Linked DNA regions of Lepisosteus oculatus. The protein of the gene in region 2 interacts with the protein of the main gene of each other region in a pairwise test. Links are inferred from orthologs where the notes say so. Each region holds a gene or a part of one and is shown on either strand. Other genes may lie near its edges.

Region 1 (7,691 bases), on a different chromosome or scaffold from region 2:
TGGGGGATGGACTTTTGACCCTGGACTGTCCATGACTGTCCAGATGATGTTCAGAGGGAGCAAACCGGCCTACAGTGAAGGACTCCCAGTCCCTGTGCTATACTGTCACATTGTTCTAAAATTGTTTTTAAAAACAGCTTGAGTTGATCTGACAAAAAGGAAGTTCTACCACAAATTTTATCTGCTGACAGGAAAGTTTCAGAAGGTCGTCTTGTAGTCAAATTCGGTCACTAAGCTTATCTCTACCTCTATGAGGGTTTGAAACTAGAGCTCTCTCACTGTTAATATATCTGTTTTTACATACGGTGAGACATTTACTTTCTTTATTTGAATTTGTTTATAAAATTGAAGGTTTCTTGCCCAGACATTGCTAAATGAGTCCTTTAGCAATGTCAGTTATCAAAAGTAGGGGGTTTACAAATACAGCAGTAATGATATAGCAAATGTCGAGAAAAATCCTAAAGCTGCATTATATTTAGAATTATGCCAGAGATGTGGTTAATCAAACAATATAGAACAAGGGGAGAGGTGCAAGATGGAAATCCTTGACTGAACTGCGTTTCCCAAAGGTCTATGAAGAATGATCATCACCCCTGTTCAGGTGGGGGGGAAACGACTGGTACAAAGTCTGCGGTTGGGATCCTGCTGTCCTGTATCTCACTGAGGTTTCACAGGTCTCCTGGACATTGCTACTCTTGGCCACATCTGAACAGGGATACAGCTAATGAGAATAAAACAAAAGAAGACTTGTTTTAATCGTGTTAATGGAGACCAGGCGAATTTAGGTAGGTCAGTTCCAGAGCTGATGTTTCCTGGTCTGAAAGTGTGAGCTCACAGGCCATCAGGACATTCACGCTTGGAGTCAGAACGCAGTGCCATGATCTGGACAGTGGAAATACATGAAGATGGCAGAATGTGTTAAGGTAACTGGGCAGAAGACGTGCAGCCATCATTCTTTGTCTCTCACTGGAAAGGTGATCCTGAAGTGCAATTTCTTGTCTCTTTAGAAAGAGATCATACGGTCCTTTTAAGAGCCTTCTGACATACACAATTGCTCTGTAAACCTTCACAGTCATGCTGTATGCAGCAAAAAAACATCCAGCTGGAGGACCTTTAGCAATCAGCTGTTATCTAAGATAAGTCCATTAAGCAAACCAATCAGACGGCTTTTAATAGAGCGCTATTATTATATTGTCAAAAGGTGTACAACAAGGTCTTGGCAAGCGCTTTCTGCTGGTGTGGAAATGGGAACTGTGTTTGAGCTGTTACTGTGAACAGTTTTATATGTTAAAAAAATCCTTTAGAACTGTCTACCTGATTGAGAAACAGATGCTGCTGAGAGCTCCTCAATCTGAAAGAGGCAACATTTTAAAGTAAGTTCTGGCTGGAATATTCTGTGACTGACTTATATTATACAAGTGAAATCAAAATGTCTTCTGCTATTGGATTCACTTTCTCTAACGTCCTCCTGGAGGAGATTACAATGTCTGTATTAAAACAGACCAAGGACTTGAAAAAAAAAACCTCTATTTGATTTTGTTGCTGAAACCGGTACCGATAAATCTGTTCTGGAAGGTGTGGGACTACAAGCAGAACATCTAGGCAGAGGACTTCCCCTCTAAACAGAGGAAAGTGAAGAACCGTGCAGAGGCTATCCCACAGAGCTGCCTCCACTGCCCCTGGCCCCTGCTGTCCTGCAGTCTGGCTTCGAGCCCTGGTGACTCAGTGTGGCTGCAGAACTGAACACCCCCCTCTCCTTCACTATTAATTCTCCTCCATACTGAGTCTGCTAAACATCACACCTACCTGTGCCTCAAACAGATAAGTAAGGGATAAATGAGATGCACATACCAACAACAGTGAGCAAGATGATCTGTCGTTATCTCTTTTCTTACAACGTTTATGCAGATTTTGTTCTTCAAATTTAACGGTTCCAGAGAGAGGCTTAAGTAAATTAGCCTATTATTTTCTTCCTTCCTCTGAAACAGGTAGATATCTTTCATCAATTGGCACAGCAATTACTCATGAGATAAATAAATATTCCAATTGTGCCCTTCTTCATTTTACATATATTAATGTTCTAAAAGGAAAATGTTATGTCAGGTGTATGTACACTTTATTACATAGAAATGCAGTATGCAGTAGAATGCATTGACATACACATGAAGGCACAGCAAAATAAAAAAAAACAGCATTAGTATTTTTACACGCATAACATTGTAAAAAGGAGATAGTAAATATTGAGCATCAAAAGAAATGTGTTGCATTTATCATTTGTAAATGCAAGAAATACATAACAGTTATTGGGAAAAGTACTATCTTTTGCAGTAGCTCACTGATAGCGAGAAGTGACTTAGTTCTTCAATAAATCAAAGTTGCTCAAGTGTATCATAGTAGGTCATGTGTGGTCTTACGAATTATACCAAAAGTATTTAATCCATATATCCAAAATCGACATACTTTATTTAATGCAACCAGATTGATAGGTTTCTCTTGATTTTCTGCATATGCCATAGAGAGGCAGTTTATTCACAGATCAATTTAAACAGTTAATTATAAGTTAATTTAGAGTTCTTTCACTTGTTCATTTACAATAATTCTAGTGGGTAATGTCTTGTTCAAAAGGAGACCTAAATTAACATTGTTTCCCTAGGATATAATCCATATTTTAAAACTGCTTTAAAACACAAAAAGGAAATCATATTCTAAACTTTTCTAAACAGGAAATACTGATAACACTACAGAGCTTTTCTGTTGACAACATCTGTCTTCATTCTTCATCTTTGACTGGGTTAAACCATGACTATAAAAACAAAGAGCAAAGGCAAAGGGACTACAAAAAAAGCCAGAGAAACAACCCTGACCACTGCTAAACAAATCTGATAGTCCTTGATTCTCAAACAACGTCAGTGCAGAGAACCACCTGCGAATATAGCCTCACAATGAAGGGCATAATAAGCCTGGTGTTTGTATAGCTTTCACAGACTGTACAGTGTGTGCTGATCATATAATGCCACAGTTTGGAAGAAAAATCAAATAGACAAGAACCATGCTTACAATCTCTACAGATAAAGACAAATGTGGAATTTAGTAAGTGGCAGGATAATTACTGTGAGACTAAAGATTGACAACAGACACAAGGACAGAGTGAGAGAGGAACAGCACTATATACAATGCTGTCCCTCTTTCATAGTATCATGAGGCACCACATTACCTAACTGAACCAGACATACATACAGTATAATATTTCTGTCCACACTTGAGATTCTTCACCTTGCATTCGCCTGGGTGATTGAATATTAAATTAATGCATTCTTAACATCCATCATCATCGAGTTCAGGATCAATCATTGTGCTGTAAATAAGTGGCTGCCACGTGGCATAATAACATTATTTTGATGTAATGAATAGGAAACATTTTTTTTCATGTTATAGGAAAATAGGAAACAGTTTTTTTTTCGACTAGGGAAGAGGAAAAACATTTAGGTTGCAAGGACTGCTTGTTGATAGGGAAGATAGCTGGTCCCGTAGCTACCAGATACTTCGAGAAACGTGCACATCTTTCATGTTAATCCGCTTCAGTATACAGGCAAAGTAAAAAAACCCATTGTGTCTCAAAGAGGCTGGCAACTGGTAATTACTGTATTTAGGTCAGGGAAAGCCAGGCTGGTCACTGATTCTGATATATGAAACCAAGTAGTTCGCATTCGTCTAAATATAAATCATTTCAGTTACGAGCAGTTGGGGGGGATGCTTTGAGGATCTCAAACTTGGAGTTACCCATCCACGATTTAGGTCACCCGGTAAATTTAAAAATGTGTTGCGGTTACTAATGGAATATATTAGTCGGATCAGAGAGCCGTCGTCACGTAAGGAATTAGTACAGCCCTACTGTTGAAACTTTTTAAAATAGTTTTCACATAAAGAGAACAGTTATTTTGTGATTACCGTCACCGGTGCTGCAGAAGTAGCAGCACTACTTAAAAAATAAATACAATTTTACAAAGATTGTACAACGGCTCCCTCTTGCGGTACAAATGTGAAGTGATTGTCTAGCCAAAAGAAGATTCAATATCACATTTACTTCCTTGGATGAGTGTCATTGTCTCACAGGACGGTTACAAAATGAAATATTGAATGCCACTGCAACTAAAGAGATCCTGAGGATCTCGCAAAACTCTATGCATATGAGACACATAGCAGAAAAACCTGGAAGAATATGGAAACGCAGCAAATTGCTGATTAATTTCCATTACAACCATAATATAGAAATGATGTGTGGCAATGTCATGTTTCAGGAAAAAAAAACATTTTACTACGACAAACCTCTGACTGTTAGACCTCCAATCCGTAGGGGGAACTGGAGAACATCCTCGTCGAAATCTTCGTCTCGTTTCCCAATGCACTTTGTGCTTTAGCAGTGAGATCATTCAGGAAGCTGGAGTTTCGAGCGTGACGTCATCCCCAAGCGCCGCTGTGGTTTCGCCTGCTGGGTTGCATTGAGATGGGCAGAACTTGTCAACTCTGATTCGACCAGCATTTAAATTGAATTAACTGACAAACAGACAAAAACCAAGAGCTGGATGACCAGAATGAGATGTCGAGGTAAGAGCTGAGCCAAACTCTTTGACTAGAAATCTGTAGAAAAGAAGTCAAAGATTGTGAGCGAGAAAGACAAACAGAACTAAAAAACTACCGTGGATTGTTTTGCTCGGCCTTTCTATGTGATCGCCACCGCACTGTTTTAAGAAGTTTTTCATGGTACATGTTGTTCGGGCTAAGAAAATAATGTAAGCATTAAAAAAAATAACAGTTCCTTGACATATCAGTGTGCGGGAAAAATGAACGCTGTCAATTGTAACAGCGAGAACCAAGTCAACATTATTGTTGCGGTTTAGCGACCATGTTAACTAATTTTAAATTGTATTTTTTAATAATGAAAAGTGTATCTGCTTTTATCGTTGTTATTAGTAATAGACTAGGTACAATAACAGTAAAAACAGTTGTAGTGGTGGAACAGATGCATTGTCAAATTGATGAGTGTGTAATAGGGATGTCTGTGTGACTTCACTCAGGCTAGTTCATCGGGATTTGCACAAGTCTGTCTTTACCGGTAGTACTAGTGGTAGTAAAATGTGCGGTGAAGAGTCCGCCCTCTCCTTTATGCGTCTCGTTTCTGACCCTCATGCTATTCGTCATCGCCCGAGTCTCTGTCTGGGGAAGAACGATTCACAACATTTTTCTGTTAGTCATCAGAATCGGCAGCGAGCTCTCTGTCTTAGCGGTTTACGTGGGTGTAATCAGATTTCTAGTGAACAGTGAATATCACTTCATTCACTACTGTCAAAATCTCAGTGCGGCAGTGGGAAGATATGACTGGAAATCACTGATGAGCCCAAAACAAACGTATGGAAAAGCAGCTCGTGGCGAGCTTCTTGCTTCTGTGAATGTGCAAGAAATGTGACATAACTGAGTGAGTTTTAAGTCATTTTAGGTGCCAAGTAACTTTTTAAATAGTATTTGTCAGCGTGTCATGTTTGTAATTCTTTTGTGCAGTTAAAGCACAAAAGACTGCACAAAAAAAGTTTTTTGCACTAAGAAGTCCCTTACTGTTTAACGTCTGCACTACGTCATTTGTTAAAATCGGGATTTATAGATTATTTTTTTCAAATGGAATTGTAGGAAAGGTAAAATCCGTTAATTAATAATAAAATGTGCTCTGTGTCTACTCCTGACAACTTTTATAGGCTAACTGTTTAATGTATATAATAGTGGGAACACAAATTCAACATTTTAGTTCCTGTTTATCCCATAGGGTGAGAAAGTCACCTGGTGACATATAATAATTAAAGACAAACACCTCAAGAGCATGCTGGAATTTTTATCCTTGTATATACTGTATATACTGTCACTCCTTCCAGAAACAGTAGAAACAATATGCATTTCACATCGCTTAATATTCTGAAGTGATCCTTGAACATTTCTACAGTCAGCAGAAATGAATGTTATTGACCCACATACTGTACCTTGTAAATAGCTTTTTGAATATGGGTCTGTTTTAATGGCTGTGACAAATGGAGGAGAAATGGTACACAGGGACAATTCTGAAGTCTGAAAAGGACCAGTAAGTGAATTTAGAAAAACAATCAAAAAGGTTGTGAACTTGAATTATTTTGTGAGGGTTCGTCTTTTCTCTGCGCAATCTTACAGTCTGTCTGTTTGTGCGTACTGGTTTTCCACAAGGATGTATACTTTCCCCATTACTCTTTCTTGTACACCAATGGCAATACCTCAAGTGACTCTTCCATCAAACTAATCAAGCAGCGGAAGACACCATCCTTGTAGGTCTATTCACAAATGAATATCATAATATGATATTGGTATCATAGAGTAGTAACAAGCACACAAAGCTTAATACCTTCCATACAGTGAAAATGCTGGTTGCTTACTGGAAACATTCTCCAAAACCTCAGTCCCTAGTAATCAATGATGTGGCTATGGGTGTGATAGAGTTCTTTAGTTTTGGGGTATAATGATGTCTAATAACCTTACATGGGACACAGATATCTCCAGTATCACAAAGAAAGCACAGCAGCAAATGTACTTTTTGCCCAAACTGAAAAATTGGGGTCTCTCAGCCAATTGTAATACAGGTTTACAGAGCCATTATTGAGAGCATTCTGACTGCCTCTGTAGCTGTTTGGTTTGGCAATGCGTCTGTCCACTCATGAGGGGAACTGCAGACACACTGCGGCCTTTGGCTGTCAGATGCTCTCTACTGGAGATTCTAGAGCAAGAAAGCAGGCAGGAAAGACTGCTGATGACCCCACCCAGGTTAACCCCTGTTTCAGAAACGTCCCTCAGGAAGACACTACTAGTCTATTAAAACAAGAAACACCTGGTATTTGAACAGATTCTTTCATGGGGCTGCCTTTCTGGTTCACCAAAATTCCTAGTTGTGTGTGCTTTTAGTCATGTCTGTTGTCTTGTTTGTGTATGGCATACAGTATGTAGCATGTTTTTGATGCATCAAGAACACCAGAGGAAATTCCTTGTAAACTAAATATACTTGGCGAATAAAAGTGATTCTGATTCAGATGTGTATTCGTGGCCACAATCACTGCTCCATTGTATGTTACTATTTCTGTATATGTTCTATATTTTCTGTTCATTTTTTTTGAACAACTGATGTGATGTACTAAGGTTTGTTTCAAAAAGATTGAATTACCTGTTGATGTTGATTTAAAACTAAAAGCTTTTTTAAAAGCAAAGGTTGCTCCTTATGTCTGCATCATCCTGTCTAATCGTGGCTGTAGCCACTCTCCTCCAGCATCTTTCAGAGGAAACATCTAGGATAATAAGTAGGTATTATTACTTGACAACGTATTGCACACATTTGTCAAAGTCAGAGAGATTTGCACTGAATGAAATCATGATCATTTTCTGACTGTGGAGTCCTGAAAGGTCATTAGTTTGACTAATGTTCTTTCCATTACAATCTTAACCAGCCTTCCTGTAGGCCTTAAGAGTAGTATAGACTGTGAAGTGTCTTACAATCCTCTCTGTTGATTTTAATCTTATTTCTGTACTTTGGCGTGATAATTTCATAGTCCTACTTTATACTGAATAGGAAAGTAACAGAAGAGGCTATTCGGTTCATTGGCTTCTGATTTGCTGACGGATACGTACTA
Region 2 (8,734 bases):
CTGGATGTTTTCAGCTGGAAAACATTCAATGGACCCTTTAATAAGTACAGGAGGTGTACGACACCCACTTACCCTTCAGGTTTTTTGGATGATTCTGTTTTGTTCGTGGCATGATTCCTCTGGTCACAGGCGCAGATATGGGTGCGTCATTGCCTTGCTTGCGAATTTTCGGCTGAGGAAGAGTGAAGCCCCCTAGCTCCCACCTCCCCCGCCGCCCCGGGTCACTGTCGGGTCAATGTCGGCTTGTCTGGTGGGAAGAGAAGAAGCAATCCGATAAGCACCTCATCGATGAAACACCCTCATCCTGTAGTGGTCTTTTTCACCAGAACATGCCACATGTGCTTTCCAAAGTGTACAAATGCACAAAAGCATACAGCATTGATCAGAAACAAATAAATTGTTAAATAGTCCATTTTATAGTTGAGGTGACTCAAAAATGAAGACATTTAGATCCCTAATGTATGGATTTAATGGCTTGCACAGTGAAAAGCTGGTTCATATTGCGAACCCAGTAATATAAGGACATTATTCTCTTCATACAGAAAATAACCCTAATAATGAAATCCCTAGACACAGCTTAGTCTTCTTATTTCTTCCCACTTAAAACATGAACATTAACATTTCTGCACCAGTTTTATTTTATGGGGCCTAGAGCTAATGCTTCATGTGAATCAGAGTTGGGCCTGTGACTTCACCATGTGAAAATAATGATTCTGTCCCCATACTGTTTGCATATATGTGTGCAAATTTTCATCCACAGCCACATGCAGCAGAGACCAAGATCCACTGAATCCATTATCTATTGAATGCTGCAGTCAAACAGAAGATCCTACTGTGAATTAAATTAAAGCCTGTCGACTAAACCTGTTTGCTCTTCCTAAAATAACTAAAGAACTGAAAGAACACACTTCTTACAGCAGCTTTAAACAAGAAGTGTTCAATGCAGACTTAATTTGCATTGGAGTAAACGCCGCTAAATACAGTGACCTTGTCTAGACTCGAAAAAGTTAATGAACCAAGAAACTCCAGTGTTTATATAAGTGTTACTTAGGCAGGGACTTACACAGGGCATTTACTATAACTGTCTGAAAGATAAGCTCTCAGTCTTGACCTGTGTTCCCACTTCAGCAACTCAGCGGAAAAAAAAAACAGGTTCTGTAGTACTCTGAAAATCTCTTGGCAGGAAAGGTAATACAAGCAGGCCCTCTCATATAAAATATTAAAAGAACAACGATGGGTAACTGCATCAAGGCTACACAGAATGCAGGGAGAATGAGGGAAAGTTCTTTTCAGATGGGGCTGGGTGGGTGTACAGGTTACAGTACATTATACAGTAATTGCAAATACAGTACCACGCCCTGTGTGTGACATACTGTAAATCTAACCCATGCAGCTTTTGCAAAACTAATGCCGCAGTTAAAGGAATCTGATGGATTTACTACAAGCTGCAGACCTTCTACTGTGCCTAATGTACACTCCTAAAAATACACTCAGTTTTGCAACACAATGGATCTGAACTCCAACCTTTTAATTGTCGGCCGTTCTTATTCCCTCCTTAGATACAATTTATAGCGTATGTACAAACATCAGACAATAGTACTGAACTGTGCCAGCTTCCTTGCAACCTCTCTAATAGTTTTCGAATGAGCCCTGAACATTAACCTCGAATGACAATGAGCCGAATAAAACTGAAAACTAAAAATAGTCATGAACAAACCAATGCATAAAACGCGAGCTGAAAATAATTTTATTTTACATGGCAGACAGGAGAGACGATTTTTTTTTGTTTGCTTTAATATTTGTAAGCCGCAGCAATGACATCATTTCACTAGGGAAACAGCGCTGCTGGAAGGCCAGGGGTTTTACAGAAAACGTTGAAGTCTAAACAACACAAGCAGATGCAACTGTTTTTAATGGAAAATTACATCCCATCTAAAATTACCCGTGTAAACTAAAATTGTACCGGAAGATAAAACAAATGGCCATTTGGGAAATGCTTTCATTTTTAAAGCAATGATTTATTGCAATGCTTTCATTTTAAAGCAAATATTGATAACCGAATTGAAATAGCTGAATGTTGAGTGAACGCTGACAGAACCACCAAAGCGAAAAATGGAGTGATCGGATATCTTATTCATAATTATAAAGGGCAAGAAACACATTAAATGATTTTCGAAATACACACGCCAAATGAGAAATGTTGAAGCAACAAAGCATGGGAAGAGAGGTTATTAAACTTGCGCAAACCGTTAATAATTCTGATTCACACTGATTCAGTTTTTTTTGTGCAAAAGCATCTCCTACAGTTAGAAAATAATCCCACTGAATTAATACAGCAGATGCTACTACTACCGCTGCTAAAATAACAATAACAAGGGAAGCCCATTATGGCAATGGACATGACTGGAGTGATGAGGCATTTTCCTTTCAGCTGTTTAACATACCGATATAAAACACACACACAAAAATGTATTTGTATTTTTGAAAAGACATGAAAGAGAGGCGCTTCCTTTGTCGGTTTGTCGGCGCTGTGTGCAATTTCCACATTCCTCCCCCCCCAAATCCTAGAGCTACGATGGGGGCGGGCAGAGCCCGTTTTGGCACAGGGGCAGCTGTGCAGGACGCACCTGCCCCTGCAGCAGTCGGAGAGGGGGGTGGTAGTGCGCGACAATGGAGGCATAGCAGTCGCCCAATGTTCTTTTTTTTAATGTTGAATTAGACTTGTTTTGGCGTGGTGTCTGAATGACCGGGGCACACGCGTCTGCCCTCCCCGCCTCTCTCCACCACATGCCCGGAGAGCTGCGCAGAGCCGGGCACAGCGCAGACGTCCTCCGTGCATGTCACCAGGCGCGCACGGAAAGCGGTTAAGGGGAGGAGCCGGGGAAAACCCCTCCGTATCAGGGACTACGAACAGGCGCTTCCCAGTTCGTCAAACGCGACACGGCTCGCCAATTCGCAGCAACAAGGCTGCCCCGCACCCCATCCGGAATGAAAAACCCAAACTCTGCCTGAGCCCACCCCGTTTACCCAGCGTGACAGGCTAAAGACAGAAGTCCCCCCCCCTCCGTGCGCTGGAGGAAATGCTGCAGGGAGTCTCGGCACCAAAACAACGCACCTTGTCGGACTGTGCGCTGCGCTAGGCTGCACACTACCGCCGTGGCCCCTGTCCACCTACGGCATCCCTGAGCAGAGCATGCTCAGGTCTCGGATCGTGCCATGCCTATTAGCCCACGGTTACAAAAACACGATAGTTATTTCTCGCAGAGCAGAAAAAAAAACCCGACGCGCGTCTGCGCCCGACTTGAACCTTGTGTACAGCGTCGCTGTAACAGCACGGGCATCCAAAACTGCACCCCCGCATCCGAATCGCAACACGGCGTTTCTTTAAACGAAAATGGCAACGCTTACAAACCTTAAGGATTCATACTTACGAGCGTGAGCTTTATGAATCTCGGGGCTTTGTTTTGTTTTACGGCGAACCTTTACGGTAAAATTGAGAAAGGTCCGCTTTCCCCTTTACCTCCTCTCTCACTTTCTATTGCAGGAAACAGGCAGGCCCACTGACGTCATCGGGGGTCCCGTAACCGCCTCTCAACTGCAGAAAGTCTAAAGGAGGGGGCCCGCGACGGCCGCACCACAACTTTATTGAAACAGCGTTTAGACGCGCTTCTTTGGCTAAACTCATCTTCCCTTCTTTTTGAAAGCCATGTTACATCTTGACTCAAGGGATTTTTTTTTGTTTGCCTTCTCAGAACGCAAATTATTGAATTTCCTAGCGTGTCGTGTACCGCCGTCCCCCCTCGATGCATCCCTTTTGCACATAGTTTTGCACTGACGGTTATCCCGGAGGTTCCTTGTTGTCAGGTCACGTTGTGTCCCTCACTGCAGACTGGGCTTTCCCATTCAGATCTCCCTTAATCCAACCCTTTGCTGTGCAACGTTGTTACGCTCCACTTCGCTTTCATTAAAAATATCCTCTGAAATAGAAACCATTTTCCTTCTGTTGCACAACACATCACCGATCACCAGAATGAATTCAGCAGATTAATGTGCGCTCCAAACCAAAGGTCAAAGATTGTTTTTTTTGTTAATTTTGACCGTTTGTCAGATATCACGCTTTGTCTTGGATATTTTACAGCGTCAGGTTGCAAAGCTCTTATTGGTTTTACGACATCGGCTGTTTTTTTCATGAATGAGGAAGGTAGTAAGATTCTCGTCTTACATGAAATACGGAGTTACAAAGCATTGCGAGAATTATATAAATCACAGTATTTACTGTTCTACAAATTCTCACGAGATTCATGCAGTCTTGGATTTTCCAAGTTTAAATGACTGATACATTTTTAAAATATTACGCTTGTGAATAATGCTGCACATTTTTATTAAACATTGAAATGATCAACACTGTAATACTGTAAATATTAAAAATGCACTTTGCACGCTACGTTCATCTAATGAAAACGAATCCATCAAATGCAATTATGATATAAAGTTTTTTACTAACTTAATTTTGCTATAGATAATAAACATTAATATTATGACTTGATGATGACAATGAACTCCATTTCGTGCGAATGTGCACGTTTTTTGGAGAAATTTGTTGAAAATACAGGTTGTTACAGATCTGCGGTCACCAATTACTTTGTCTTTGCAAACATCATACGTGTTGCAAAATAGAAATATGATTTCCAGAACCAGACCCCAAAGTCAGAGCTCCGCGATGCTGCTCCTAACATTCTTACATGCGGTGGGAGTCATCGTTAGTGATGTTTGTAGGGGAGCAACTTCACAGATCTCAATGCGGGTGGGGCCGTTTATCTGAATTAAATTTGTGAATAGTCACTCATACAAGTGCGCGGAAATAACGCAGAGATACCAATTAACCTACAGTAATCAGTCTGTCTTCGGGCGATGGGAGAAAACAGTGCAGAAGTTGTCTTCATATTTGGGTTATTGTCCAAAAATGTTTTTATCGTGAAAACGATGGTTGAAAATATAATACTTTTTCTGTGCGTTTGGTGTGTTTTGTTCACATACAGTATGGTCTGTACAAAGCTTTCTGTAAAATTATCATTTTATTAGCTCTGTCAGTTTAAAGAACTTTTAGCAGATCAAAATACAAGTGGTGACATTTGTGAGAATTAGAGTTCCATTTTAAATAGTTTTATTTGCATGGAATCCTTCTGTTACTTAACAATGCGCTTGTTAGCTGACAATGAACAGGACGTAATGTAGGAACATTACTGTATATGCAGCACACTACTGTAGGAATGCAAATCATTAATGTGATATTGGTGTTTTTCTTATACTGTCTCTGCATTCTCGCAGTGATCTTCTGTATTGAGCTTGACCAGAATCACCCTTCAAGTTCTTCACAGTGCTGCAGAGATGCTGTCACTCCAGAGGAAATGTTAACAGGCTCCTAAATGTTTGTGTCACTGCAGACTGACAGCACCCCACTGCTCACGGAGTGACTGCTCTCACACGGGCACCTTAGGCATGTTCAGCTGTGGTTACGATGGCACTTGTGTTGCTTATTTATTAAGACATAAAAAACAGAACACCTGATGGGTTTGCATATTCATGTTCAAAACAGAATTGTGAAACCATTTCAGTTAGAAACAAACAATGAAGAAGGAAATAGGCAACAGAGTCGAACAGTGGTTAGGGTTCTAGCCTTGTAACTGCTACGTTGTCAATTCAAATCTAATATCTAAAGCTGAGCGATATATACGATATAGATAAAGATATAGTTCTGGTAAAATACATAACTGAGGACATTGGTGCCAATATAAGTTTCACTAGAAAAAAGTGTTAGTCAGATAGAGAATCTGTTATAAGATACATTCCAGCAAGATGGAAGGATCCTGTTAATGATAGCTGTAATATTTTCACTCTGTCTTTGGGTTTTATCATTCTTCATAGCAAATTCACTAATAAGACCATGCCATTAATAAAATAGTATTATAGCAGCTAAACTATAACCACATCATACATAAGAGACAGAAAACTAAATATTTATGTATTAAATTATATCAATATATTTATTACAAATTGATTAGTGCTGTGTATTTATTATATGTGCTAGACACAATATATCACAGTGCCTAAGTGGAAAAGAAAGAAAAAAATGAGCTCAATAAAATCAATAAACATACTTATTTCTAGTTCTGAGTGTTGTTGTGTTGAGAATGTTTGAAACAGGCTTGTTTTAAATAACTTTTAAATACAATTTTAGGAACTACCAGGCCAGAATTATACAAATATATACTATATTAGCAAAAGGCATAGGCGCAAGAGGAACTATGGAAATGTCTTCAAAGTGTTTTTAGTAGAGTACCAAGTACTCTACTAAAGAGTACCTTACCAAGAAAGGCCGTTCTCATTCAGCAGCTGCAGACTGAAGCATGGAATTAAGACTTTTATCTTAGAATCTGTCAGGATTGTTCCTGCCAGGAAGGGCTTCTGTAATCCTAGAAGGGACAATTTTCCACTACATTTCTATTGTGATAGTAGTAGCAGGAATATTGGGGTATACTTACTTCAATGCAATTAGAGAGAAGACGGTGTCTTTTTGATAGTTGTATCAATTTGGTCCAAAGTTTGAGTCATCCAGCTGTCCCAAGAGTTGAAATTTAGTTTTGCCTCATCCGGGAATCTAACTGTCAGACAGCTTGGTTCACTTCCCATTCCAGCAAAGCAGGGATGAGGAGGGTGGCTGTATGTTTCCTGCTAAAGGTCCACTTTCAAGACCCCCACTGCACTGTGAGGTTAACAGCCCTCAAGGCAAACACGTACCCAGCGGAAGACTGGCAGTGCAGTAGACTTCACAGGAGCCCTGATGAGTCTCCGGGGTCACTGTTATCTGCTATTCAAAGACACCCTTACTCACTCAAGGCAACTCCATCCTGCCTACACCCGGCCATCCCATAAATATCTTTTTGTTCTGTTACACGATGTTGCTGTATTGTGTAGTTTCTCCCACCTGTAATTCAATAGGTGATTTTTAAATTCTGTTCATGGTCATTCTGAACATGATTCAAAATCATATTGTTTTTGCTGATGACTTAAAGAAAAAAGTACATTTTTAAAAATCCATTGCTTATATAATTTTAAGGGTGTGATTTCAGTATATCATTTATGTTTTCATAGTGTGGGATGCGATTTCAGTATGTATATATTGTAAGTCCTTTATCGAGGTAGTGCATAAGAGATTTCAGTATATACAGTAATATCCAGTTTTTCATGTTGTGTTTTAGAGATTTAATAGGCCCTGCACACTTTATACTTTATATCTAAGACCCTATGTGCACCACAAGCACAGACCCATTTCTCTAATGTGTGTTGAACAATGCTGTTGAAGAAGTTTTTTTTTAGGACAAATCAAATTAATTGTAAATAATTTTCTTTGCATAACATTACAATATAATACTAAATATCAGGACGCCTTTGGCATGATAGATAACTGTAGGTCCCTTTTTAAAATCTGATGTATCTTTTTAGTTTTTTGTATATACTGTACAGTAACTGAGTGACTTCTATGCTATAAGCTGGTTAGGGTTTTGGCATTAAACAGATGTATCTGTAGGTAGGGTAGCTCTGCCATAAATAAAGGATAAATTATCTTACATTCTATTCGGGTAAACTCAGCTGTCAGTTTCTGTGCCCTTACTGTATCATTCATTTCGTATACATAAGTAAAAATGGCAATAATAAAAAATCAATCAAACTCTAAATAAACCTCTCAAATGTGCACATATTACACATTTGTTGAATATATTTGTTACAAAAATGATGACATATCGTAGGTCAACACAGACATTAGTAACTTAACTACTTAGATATTTGAACAAGTTTGAACATTCACTCCTGAATAATTACTTTACTTTTTTTGATGGTAGACTGCGTAGGCTAAATAGTAACAGATATAAGAGACAAAATATTTCAAGGCTTTTTTGCTTGTTTTTCTGAAGTCTAAGGATTTTAAGGGTATCCCACAAACCCTGCTGGGCTGAAGATCTGCAGGAGTAAGTCTGATGACCTGTGGCTTATGGAATTACATTAAATGGGTCAGAATGTATTAACATGTGAGTTAATAAGGATGTTGTTCAATTATGTGATTGAAGAGTAATAGATATCTGTGTTTACTAGGAAGGGTACTTGCTTGTCATCTCTAATAACATAATGTGAACAGCCAGATGTGGATCATTAGTTGCATTGGAATCTGAGACATTACAGAACTGACCAAAGAATTCTACATTTTTAGAATTAAACCACAAAAGCAAATAGACATCAAGACAAAAGCATAACTAATATCAATGAGCCAATGTGTGGACATTAAGATTCTGTTAACTGTGGTACAAGTGGAAAATGGGGGAGAGATTCAGTGATTAGGGACAATTCTCCATCCTAAGAGCAGCCTTAACACTGTAACACTGACTTGGTTTAATTTGATATATGGTAGTTCTTTAATATAATTCTTTCACGAATGAGCGAGTTACTGGAGATAAGGAAAGAAAGGGCATTCTCAGGGGATTATTTGCAATATGAAATTGAAAAGGCTCAGCTGAACTAGGCATCTAATTAGAAATCCGCAGTCTTAAACAGAAACCATTTAATGAATACAAACGAGGCTACTTGTATTAATTCTGTGTCCGGAACTTAGTGTCTGTATGCTTTGAGATTTTTGCAGCATGGTCTGTAATGCAGCTTTGGGCTTAGGAGCTAAGAAGGG

What was found.
Region 1: the proteins of hivep1 (region 2) and atxn1l interact in a two-hybrid assay, tested with the Homo sapiens proteins (2 studies listed by BioGRID). The link is inferred for Lepisosteus oculatus from reciprocal best matches to the Homo sapiens genes HIVEP1 and ATXN1L.

What each region holds. Positions count from the first base shown.
Region 1 is NC_090715.1:9,892,184-9,899,874, forward strand, and holds the start of atxn1l (ataxin-1-like), read left to right. Parts: upstream 1-4,458; 5' UTR 4,459-4,605; intron 4,606-7,691. UniProt on the Homo sapiens protein: Chromatin-binding factor that repress Notch signaling in the absence of Notch intracellular domain by acting as a CBF1 corepressor. Binds to the HEY promoter and might assist, along with NCOR2, RBPJ-mediated repression.
Region 2 is NC_090705.1:17,495,478-17,504,211, forward strand, and holds the start of hivep1 (zinc finger protein 40), read right to left. Parts: upstream 3,539-8,734; 5' UTR 3,432-3,538; intron 248-3,431; 5' UTR 113-247; coding exon 73-112; intron 1-72.